Linked DNA regions of Saccharomyces cerevisiae S288C. The gene in region 3 interacts genetically with the main gene of each other region. Each region holds a gene or a part of one and is shown on either strand. Other genes may lie near its edges. The genes, in order: SMF3, FET5 and MMT2.

Region 1 (3,758 bases), on a different chromosome or scaffold from region 3:
GCTCATCAAGTCTTTTTTGACTAATGTATGTTTATATTTTGATATTAGATAAAGTATGCATTTGTTCTGAAGGCTATGCATACGTAAGTATATACTTGGGTTGTATTATGCAGAATAAAGAAATGAGAGAAAACAAGAATCGAGAGAAAACGACACACTTGACAATAAATAGGTTCCATTAAAAATGGATGTCGGCACCTAAGAGATAGGAAATCACCAAATAGCAATTCAAGCTCCCGATTAAAGCCCATACGAAAACAGAGGTATAGGTCAACAAACGACTGTTAGTAAAATCAACTATTTTACTGTGCTTGGAGTTCAATGGAGTGGTTTCATCAGCAATGGCGTTAACATCGGCAGGTGCTCTTACCACACCATTTTCGTCATGAACAACCATCAACTTTCTATTTGCGGTAAAATAAATTAAAGGAGCGGATACGATTGGTAAAATTAAGGACAAGACCACTTGAGAAAAATTCAAAATATCTGAAATTCCCTTTTCCCCCATGGTTAAAGTAACAAATAAACATGGTACAATGGCAATCAATCTGGTGCACAATCTTGTGGCCCAAGGTGGTAAAGACCACTGTAAAAATCCCTCAGAAACGATTTGCCCGGCAAGTGTACAGATGATACCGGCAGATTGACCAGAACATAACATGGCCAATGCAAAGATTAACCCTGCCGCAGGAGATATGTAGTGGACCAGTAATTTGTAAATAGATAACAAATCAGCATCCTCTGCCTCAGGTTGGCCTGATAAAGTAGCACCTGCAACAATTAAAATAGCGGAATTAACAAAGGTGGCAATTAAGAACAAAGAAATGATTAGTTCAGCGTACGCATAGTTTAACGTATATTTTATAGCGCTTAAACTTGGGCGGGCATTAACCTTACCGTATTTCTTCAAATCGTAATCGTGCAATCTTGGTTTAACAATGGATGAGCCCAAGTATAATGAATGAGGCATCACAGTGGCACCTAAGATACCCAATGAAATGTAAAGAGCTTGTTGTTCCTTAAAAATGATATTTGAAGGCAAAAACCCTTTAAACAATTCAGCTTTGTCTGGGATTGAAACTTTAAACAGCTCCAAAACAAAGCAAATGCAAGTTCCAATGACCAAAATCCCAACGCCAAATTCGAAAACCCTAACTTTTTTTAAGGACTGGCCGTTTGGTGTGTAGAACATTAAAATTACCAAAACATCTAGCACCGTTAATAAGACACCCCAAGTTAGTGGTATTTTGAAAAGAATTTGTAAAGCGATGGCAGTGCCTACAACCTCGGCCAGATCAGTAGCAATGATTGCCACTTCAGCGAAAAGGTAAAGGGTATAGTTTAGCTTTTTAGGCAAATTATGACGACAGTTTTCAGCCAAATCATAGCCAGTGATAGTACCCAGCTTCACACAGAGACATTGCAAAAGTACGGCAAAAATGTTGGATATAAAAATAGAGAATAATAAGGTATATTTGTATTGAGCACCACCGGAAACACTAGTGGCATAATTTCCTGGGTCCATATAAGCCACACTGACTAATATCCCTGGCCCAATAAATTTGGCAAATTTTTGAAGAATCTGCATATAAGATCGCATTTTTTTTCTCTTGTGATGCTACTACTGTTATCAATTAGCTTGGAAGAACGATATATTTAAAGGAGTTCAGAAGGAAATAATAGTTTGGGTATGACAACTGAAAAAAAAAATGAACTAATATATAAAGGAACCCCGTATATTTATGTGGAGTGATCTTTGTCTTCTAGCTCCTTTGAAATAAATATTCAATTATGCAACCTCACAGAATCAGATGAATGAGATATATACAGTATAAATACCTTTAGTCGCATGACAACAGGATGTCGTAACAATGCAATATTAGAGCATTTTTAAGTTGACCCAAAACGGAAATTTCAAGGTGCGGAAACTGGAAGAGAGGCAGGGCGGGCAACAGGGTGCGGTTACCATGAGTTACAAACAATGGTCTATTATGAAGTAATCTATTGTGCTGAGTGGTGATAGTGCACCCGATCATCAGGGGCTGTCTGGCGTGAAGAGGCACCATTCATTTGTCGTGGCTTCAATGTGTCCCGGTTTCTTCACATGCGCTCGCAAGGCTTGCAAAAGACTGGAAGAAGGGCTTGTGGCATCGTCCCTCGATCGTAACCACAGAGTTTCTTTGGCAAAGTTATCGCTGTCATGCTTAACAATTTTTTCATTCTTCAGGGTATAGACGTAGTTGTTGGTATACTCGGAAAAATGCATGAGTTTCGGCCTTGTTTTGTGCATGCAGGATGCTTTCTTTATATAATTATCAGTTACTTTTTTTTTCGAATTTCGTGGAATGGTCATGTCCACGGTATTGTTTCTTTTACCGTAGGTTTGCTGAAGCTTTATTAGTTCCTTTTTTTCTGTATTTGAAAGCTGTCTTTCGTTGGGCATTCCCCTTTTATTGGCATCTCCACAGCTAGTACGTTTGGCCTCAAGTAAGTTTTCGCTCAGTTTCTTGTTGACGTTTCTTATTTTTGTGATCATAAAAGGATTAGAAATAGAAGCGTCCTTAGAAAGTTCTAAATCCTCGTTCTCTGGAATAGTTTCTATATAGTTATAAGTTAATGACGAGGGTAATGTTGAGGATCCAGCTCCTGCTACTTCACTATTTTCGCTTAGTTCTTGTTGGAAATTATGTCGCCAATTAGTACTGTCCTCGGAAGCCATAGACCCGGAACTCGAGCTTCTATAACTTGAAATGGTCAGCTGAGTTTGTTCGTCAAGAGCTTTATCCTCGCTAAATTTTGTAGGTGAAGGAGTAGCAGCGACAATGGTCGTATTCTCTAAGTTTGCTTCATCGTAAAAAGTTGGTACTATCAAATCTGAGTTTTTTTGTGGGATGTCAGTCTTGTCTTTACCACTAACAGCACCACAGCCCTTTGATATTTCATTCTCTGCGTCGGGTGTAGGTATCACCAGTGCGGGAGAAGTTTTTTCGTTGATAGAAGGCTGAACATGTTTATCTCCCAGCATATTTGTTTCGATGCCAATTCTCTCCTCCAATAACAACTTTAACTTATTCTCTATCTTCTTAAATATCACTTCAAAACTTTTGATCATCACGTCATTTTTCTCTGGTTCGATATTTACGTCAAGAAGCTTTGTATCGCAATTTAAATTAATAAACCAAACCATAGGATCTAGTAAAGAGAAATCTCTATAGATTGACGATAGTAACTTAGAAATAGTCTTCCCCGTCTCCAAGTTCAAAGATAGCGCTCTCTCATTAACAGATAAAAATTTAAATCGTCTCTTTATATTAATAACGTCAGATTCTGGCACCATCCTCGGTAAGATCAAATCTAAATTTATTTTTTCGTCGATAACAAAGTTTTCTTCTACAATAAAGTTCAGCGGCACAGGCTTTTTTAGTCTAGCTAGTAGGGACAAACTTCTAGCTCTAGAAATCTTAGGGTCTAACGTTTCTTGCATTTGTTTACGCTCTATGGCACCATTTTTTTGTAATGACACCAACGAAAAATAAAACCGAATATTTCTATGAATTAGAGAATAATGGTTTATTAAATAGATTAGTTCATCGAATGTTTTTCTTGGCCTCGAAGAAATTTCGAGATACCTTGCTCGTAACCCTCCCAGAAGTTTCCTTAATATTACTGTAGTCCCCACGGGACAAGATACCTTGTACCTTTTTCCATTGGTAATACCACCCTTACTATCAACTAACCATTTTTCTCCAATGACATCA
Region 2 (3,758 bases), on a different chromosome or scaffold from region 3:
GGCGGCTTGATCTTCTTTTGGACCCCATGGAAGGCTCCCTTCTATGTGATATAATGCTTGGTTGCGAAACTGGCGAAGTTGGCGTAGTTGATCTAGAAACTGGGGATGGCACGTTTGACTTAAACGAAGAGATCATTCCACTGAAGAACGAGGACGTCGAAGAAGTCCTTGATTGATCGTGCTTGATCTCTGTAGGGTGTTCATCGGCGGCACTTTGGTTTGTAATCACTACTAAATTCTTGCGTACGTCGTTGGTCTCTGTATTTAGGGGCACTTCTTGCAGTGACTCAGCTTCAGTATCGCCGGCATTGTCATTGTTACTTGCATGCTCAAAGGGGGGACCCAATTGTTTCACAGAATCAGTACTGTCCTCATTATCTGATACGGGTTCCCAGTTATCTACATCCGACATCACCACTAATCTTTTTGTGTAGTTGCCTTCTTCACCCTTTTCTCAGATAGCGAAATGGTTGAGTGTTTTAATATAATTGTCAAGATGCTTTATGAAAAAGGGTGGGAGAAACAAGTCCCCCTGCTCAGCGATACGCGATCTCTCTGATCTCAGACATAAAGCAAACATTCTATCATGAGTGACATTGAGGATGACGGTAATTGGTAATATCTGACCTTCTGACCTCCACTCAACACAATGCAGAAAGCTATCAAATGTTTTGAACCAAACATGAAAGAGATTCAGAAAGTTGCCAAGCCAACGTGATGTCACAGGTCAAAGTTTAAGTGAAGGCTATTGGAATCTGCGGATCAGACATTCACTACTACACGGATGGCCAGGTCAGCGTAAAGTAACCTGGGAAGCCCATGACTTTGGGCCACGAATCCAACGGTGCTGTTCTTGAAATTGAAGTATCTCAAACTACTGTAAAGCGGGTGATGCAGTAAGCATATAGCCCTCATACCCAAATAGGTTTACCAAAGAGTTTCTGTGAGGCCATTATAGTTTGCAGCTCAACATACCATTTGCTGCATCACTGACCGTGACGGCACCCTTTGTCAAGAGTTCGTGGTTAACGTCGACTGCGTTTACTGATTACCGTTACAGTGAATTTCTAGCAAGAGTCCTCTGTAGATGCCACTATTTGTCGCTCTCCATGTAGTAAGGCCGTCCTAGCTGAAGTGTGGGGAGTAAGCTGTAGTTATAGGTGCTGGAACAATTGATCTGCTGGCGGGTGCGGTACTCAGAGGGTTTGGTGTTCATGAGTACACATGATTCCAAGAAAGAGCAAAATGGACAGTTTATAAACGCTATGAAGAACTGCTATAATCAGAAAAAAAGGAAGCCTGATGGATTCGAGTCCTCAGGTACTCAAAAGAGCGTTGAGAATATGCTAAAATGTGTCAAGAACGGTGGAACAGTTAAGTAGGTTGATATCCACCCCTCGAATGAAAATGTGGGGACCCTCCCAACGAGATTCCTTCAGAGAGATTACATATAAAGTGAAATTCAAGTATGACGATGGTGACTACTCCTTGGCCATTGATTTGATGTCTAGGGATTGTATTAATGTCTATGAGTTGATTACCGATAGGCTACTGGTTGATTTCCTTTCAAAAAAGCTGCTCAAGCTAAGATAGGTAAGGTGTTTATAGAATTTATCGAACTGTATCTAAATATTTTTAATATTCTTGTTTTATTACTTTGTGGCTTTTGTATTCAGTCTGCACCCTGTTTCGCCATCGATTCTTATAATACATACATTTTTATATAAGATCACAGAAAATACGAAGACGTAAAAAAAGAGTTCCGAATGAAAGAAGAAAGAATCAAGCACAGGAAGACAAGAAACGATGTTGTTCTACTCGTTCGTGTGGTCTGTACTGGCCGCTAGTGTTGCTTTGGCAAAGACACATAAGTTAAACTATACCGCTTCTTGGGTAACTGCCAATCCTGATGGATTGCATGAAAAAAGGATGATTGGTTTTAATGGCGAATGGCCACTTCCAGATATCCATGTTGAAAAAGGAGATCGTGTTGAGCTTTATTTGACTAACGGCTTTCAAGACAATACTGCTACTTCTCTACATTTCCATGGTCTTTTCCAGAATACGAGTTTGGGGAACCAGCTTCAAATGGATGGTCCTTCTATGGTGACACAATGTCCCATCGTTCCGGGACAAACATACCTGTACAACTTCACTGTCCCAGAGCAGGTAGGAACGTTCTGGTACCATGCACACATGGGTGCCCAGTACGGTGACGGTATGAGGGGTGCATTTATCATCCACGATCCGGAGGAGCCCTTCGAATATGATCATGAACGAGTCATCACTCTATCGGACCATTATCACGAAAATTATAAAACGGTTACCAAAGAGTTTCTGTCAAGATATAATCCAACCGGTGCTGAACCTATTCCTCAAAATATTCTTTTTAATAATACGATGAATGTAACTTTAGATTTTACACCCGGTGAAACGTATCTCTTCAGGTTCTTGAACGTTGGGCTGTTTGTATCCCAGTATATCATTCTTGAGGATCATGAAATGAGTATAGTAGAGGTGGACGGTGTTTACGTAAAGCCAAACTTTACTGATTCGATATATCTTTCTGCGGGGCAAAGAATGAGTGTGTTGATTAAAGCTAAAGATAAAATGCCTACAAGAAACTACGCTATGATGCAAATAATGGATGAGACGATGCTTGATGTTGTCCCACCTGAGTTACAACTCAACCAAACTATCCAAATGAGGTATGGCCACTCGTTGCCGGAGGCACGCGCATTGAACATTGAAGATTGTGACTTGGACCGCGCCACGAATGACTTTTACCTAGAACCTCTGATTGAGAGAGACCTACTTGCTCACTATGACCACCAAATTGTCATGGATGTAAGAATGGTCAACTTGGGTGATGGTGTGAAGTATGCATTTTTCAATAATATCACTTACGTCACACCAAAGGTGCCTACTTTGACAACGTTGCTTACCTCAGGAAAGCTTGCGTCAGATCCTAGAATTTATGGTGATAATATCAATGCGCAGTTATTGAAACATAATGATATCATAGAGGTTGTTCTAAACAATTATGATTCTGGCAGACATCCATTCCATTTGCACGGTCATAATTTCCAAATAGTCCAAAAGTCGCCAGGGTTCCATGTTGATGAAGCTTATGACGAATCTGAGCAAGATGAAATGACCGTCCCTTATAACGAATCTGCGCCATTACAACCGTTCCCTGAGAGGCCGATGGTGAGAGATACAGTGGTTCTTGAACCTAGTGGACATGTTGTCCTGAGATTTAGAGCTGACAACCCTGGTGTCTGGTATTTCCATTGTCATGTAGATTGGCACTTACAACAAGGTTTGGCTTCGGTCTTTATTGAGGCACCCGTTTTACTTCAGGAAAGGGAAAAGCTTAATGAGAACTATCTGGATATATGCAAAGCCGCTGATATTCCGGTAGTTGGTAATGCTGCAGGTCATTCGAATGATTGGTTTGACTTAAAAGGATTACCAAGACAACCTGAGCCACTACCAAAGGGATTTACTACTGAAGGATATTTGGCATTGATTATTTCAACCATTATCGGTGTCTGGGGCCTATATTCCATTGCTCAGTATGGTATTGGCGAGGTTATCCCTAACGATGAGAAGGTGTACCACACGTTAAGGGAAATCTTGGCTGAAAATGAAATAGAGGTTTCTCGCGGCTAATTAAACAAGAAAATATAAAAGAAAAATGAAAGAAGTTTATATTCATATTGATGATTTGCAATCCTAAAAAAAATGTAGCACTG
Region 3 (3,626 bases):
TTTTTTAGGGATCACAAAGGGAAAATAACTACACAGCATGTGGTGGTACAGATGAGGTCAATGGCAGTTTTGCCTTAGTTGTAAGTAATTAACCAATCCTTGTCGTGCTTCTCATGAATGTGTATGAATTTATGTTCATCAGAATATCCCTCTTTAACCACAGTTCTTGCGTAAAGCATAGTCTGGCTTCCTTTAGAAAAAGGAAATGTGGTAATTCTAGGACCACGTTTTGGGCTTCGTCATTTCTTTTCACTCCTCCACTTTTATGACATTTGATCGCAAGTTCCTCCATACATCATGCCTAGTAATCAAAACAAATAACGCACAAGGGAGTAAAGGGAAATGGTTAGAAAAGACCGAAATCCTTTTTTTGGTCTCCGTTACGTGCTTGTTAATCAGGCTCCCTTGAAGCAGTCAATATTTCTTGGACTATAAAAGCACATTACTATTTCATCAAAAAAAGGATACATACCTACCCTCAACTCTTAATATCTACTAGCAGCAGAGCCAAACACTACCGCATAAAAGCTAAGTACGAATAACAATTAAGAAATGTCCAATCTATTAAACAAGTTTGCTGATAAGTTGCACGGCAACGATCATGATGAACGTTACGAAGACGACAATGACGACCAGACTAGACAACAGCGTCATGAAAAACATCAACAGAGGGAATTCAGGAATCAAGGATCCAAGGCCGATCCCTACGGCGAAGAAAACCAAGGGAATTTCCCTCAACGCCAGCAGCCACAGTCTAATCTAGGCGGTAACACGCAGTTTGGCGGTAACGACTTCCAGCAACAAACTACTGACTACACTGCCGGCACTGGTGGTGGCACTTATACCCAAACTTACCGCGAAACTAACACTCAAGGTCAGTTGGACGACGATGAAGACGATGACTTCTTGACTTCGGGCCAACAGCAAAAACAAGGTCGTACAAGAGGTGCTCAAAGTAACCGCTACCAATCCTCTAATATCGGCAGCGGTAGACGCGATCTGTCTGGGTCAGGAAACGATGAATATGATGATGATAGTGGGAACCAAGGCGTCTGGTAGATGCGGTGGTCGAAGCTTCTATTACATGCCTGAGGTGCGGGTCTCACCCTTGAGCAGCAAGTGAGAAATTTTACCCTAATTTCGTCTTCTTTTTTCTTTTTTCTTCATCTGGACCTATTATTGGTCATGATGCCACTTTTTACAAACTATTTCATATGTTTAATCTAGTTTATTTAGATCTACAGCTGTCAGTTTATACGTTTTTATTAATGTCAGTTTGATTTGATTAGTAGTGACCTTTTTCGTCGAGGTATGCCGTTTCACGGACCTCCAGATCCAGGTGTATAACAATAGAATTATGGGAAAACGGGGTGGGAAGGTCGTTGTCTAACTCAAACCTCCTGGAATTAGCGGGTAAAGTGTCGTTATTGTGCTGGGCAACAACTTTTTTTTACGATTTCTTTTTACCTCTCATCTAGGTTAGTGTTAGTTGTAAAAACCCGAGCAGATTGGTGCCTTTTCAAGTGCGTTCTTACAACCATACTTTTTTATTCTAGAACGTGTAAGCAATTACTTTCTCAAAAAAGCAAACGCAATAAAGATATGCTACGGATAAGTATTGACTCTATCAAGCAATTCGGTTCCTTTGTGCCAGGTTATAACAACACTAGTTACCATGCTGCCGGGAGGGCCATAAGAACATCAAGCCTGTACAGTACAATGATCTCAGCCAACCCGAGAAGGTGCCTGCATTCTTCGAAACTGCTAAATAAAGAAGGTCAAGAAGAGGGCTATAATGAACAGCTCATTTCAAAAATGTCTTCACAGAATGGATCGAATTCCAGACAGAATGAAAGTGAAGGAAAGAAGGAAGGCAAGGCTTCCTCTGTGAAGTCGTTGTTGCAACATACTCATAGTCACAGCCACACACATATGCATGACAATCCTTTATTGTCACTGAACGTACAGCAGATCAAGAAGAATCCTGGCGTAAGAATAACATGGATAGGACTTGCATCAAATGTGGGGATGGCAGTAGGAAAATTTGTAGGAGGAATCACTTTTCATTCTCAAGCATTACTTGCTGATTCCGTACATGCTCTTAGCGATTTGGTATCTGATTTTTTAACACTGTTTTCTGTCCAATATGCGTCTCGTAAACCAACTTCGGAGTACCCATATGGCTATGGTAAAGTGGAAACTGTGGGATCTTTGGCAGTATCCACAATCTTAGCAATGGCTGGTATATCTATCGGTTGGTCGTCGTTATGCGCTATTGTGGGGCCTGTCATTCCTCATGCCATTCTAGAATCGATGGCCGGTTTAATTGGTGAAACGCATTCCCATTCTCAGTCGCTAACACAACAGGCAACTAATGTAAATGCTGTATGGATAGCAGCGGGTTCTATCTTGGTTAAAGAATGGGTTTTTCAGGCAACAAAGAAAGTTGCAATCCAAACAAATTCTAATGTACTAATGGCAAACGCCTGGCATCATCGTGTTGACTCCTTGACATCGTTGGTAGCGTTGGTCGCTATCACATCTAGTTATTTTTTCAACATTCAATCCTTAGATAATTTAGGTGGGCTTGTAGTGTCAGGTTTGATCATAAAAACAGGTGGACAAGGTATCTTATCCTCACTGAAGGAGTTAGTTGACCAATCTATACCACCTACTGATCCGCGTTATCTAGAAATCGAATCTGTCATAAAAGACAGCATTGGCAGTTTGAAAACAGACTTAGATCTCAAACAGTCGTTACATGTTAGAGACCTTACTATATTAGCTTCCGGTCCTAATCTTCGTGCCACCACAACTTTGGAAGTGCCAGTATTACATTCAGGTCAGGAAGTTGGGATAAGATTTTTGGAAAACGCTATTTCGACTATAAGAGAGGATTTACGTATGAAGGTGCCAAACGTGGGGAAGGTGGACGTCGAGTTTGTTGATGTAACCTCTGACTCTAAAGGTGATTTGGAGCACTCTCATGACACTAAATCAACAAATCATACTCATACTCATTCTGATTCTGCCGATACTCACACCCATAAACATTAGGGAATTCTCAATGATGAATTTTTTCAAAAGTTAAGAGCAAAAGTACAGCCTTTCACATTTCAACAATTTACTGAGCTTAATATATATATGTATATATATATATGTTGAACAAGGAAGAATGCCTTGTGTTGTTCCTTTGTATAAAGTAATGTATTCTATATAATCAATCACAAATATATATGCATGTTCATTTCTGACCGACAATCCAATCGTTCAAGCCGTGTTTATTTCTAGCAATTTCAAAAGCGTAAAATTGTAGTCTCACGACAAAACAAGTAGTAAATTGACCATACTCGGCTGAAGCGTCTGTCCTCAACAAAGTACCAAAGTTATAGTCTTCGATTTTTTTCTCAAAAATTGTGAAGAACTTTCTCCATCTTTCCTTGGCTTCTTTTGTTTTTAATTCTTCCTCCGTAAACTTTTTGACCCTTTCAACATCTTTGTATTCTGGGAATCTCTCCATAAAATTCTCGTATATTTCGTCATCAAACTTAGTCAAACGTAACTTGGAACCGGGAACACTTGTTAATAGTTTCCAATATGTTTCCGCTTGTTCAACAGCAACAACA

The links.
Region 1: mutations in MMT2 (region 3) and SMF3 impair growth when combined (synthetic growth defect), as found in Saccharomyces cerevisiae (one study listed by BioGRID).
Region 2: mutations in MMT2 (region 3) and FET5 impair growth when combined (synthetic growth defect), as found in Saccharomyces cerevisiae (one study listed by BioGRID).

What each region holds. Positions count from the first base shown.
Region 1 is NC_001144.5:210,334-214,091, forward strand, and holds SMF3 (putative divalent metal ion transporter SMF3), read right to left. Parts: upstream 1,601-3,758; coding exon 179-1,600; downstream 1-178. Other genes in the region: mismatch repair protein MLH2, read right to left, coding at 2,036-3,758. UniProt on the Saccharomyces cerevisiae protein: Has a role in controlling the cellular iron ion levels. Mobilizes vacuolar stores of iron in conditions of low iron levels.
Region 2 is NC_001138.5:47,333-51,090, forward strand, and holds FET5 (ferroxidase FET5), read left to right. Parts: upstream 1-1,806; coding exon 1,807-3,675; downstream 3,676-3,758. Other genes in the region: LAM5 (Lam5p), read right to left, coding at 1-412; YFL041W-A (uncharacterized protein), read left to right, coding at 1,402-1,593. UniProt on the Saccharomyces cerevisiae protein: Iron transport multicopper oxidase, which is required for Fe(2+) high affinity uptake. May be required to oxidize Fe(2+) and release it from the transporter. Essential component of copper-dependent iron transport.
Region 3 is NC_001148.4:126,065-129,690, reverse strand, and holds MMT2 (Mmt2p), read left to right. Parts: upstream 1-1,602; coding exon 1,603-3,057; downstream 3,058-3,626. Other genes in the region: GRE1 (Gre1p), read left to right, coding at 553-1,059; ribosome-associated Tef1p biogenesis chaperone CHP1, read right to left, coding at 3,245-3,626. UniProt on the Saccharomyces cerevisiae protein: Mitochondrial metal transporter involved in mitochondrial iron accumulation.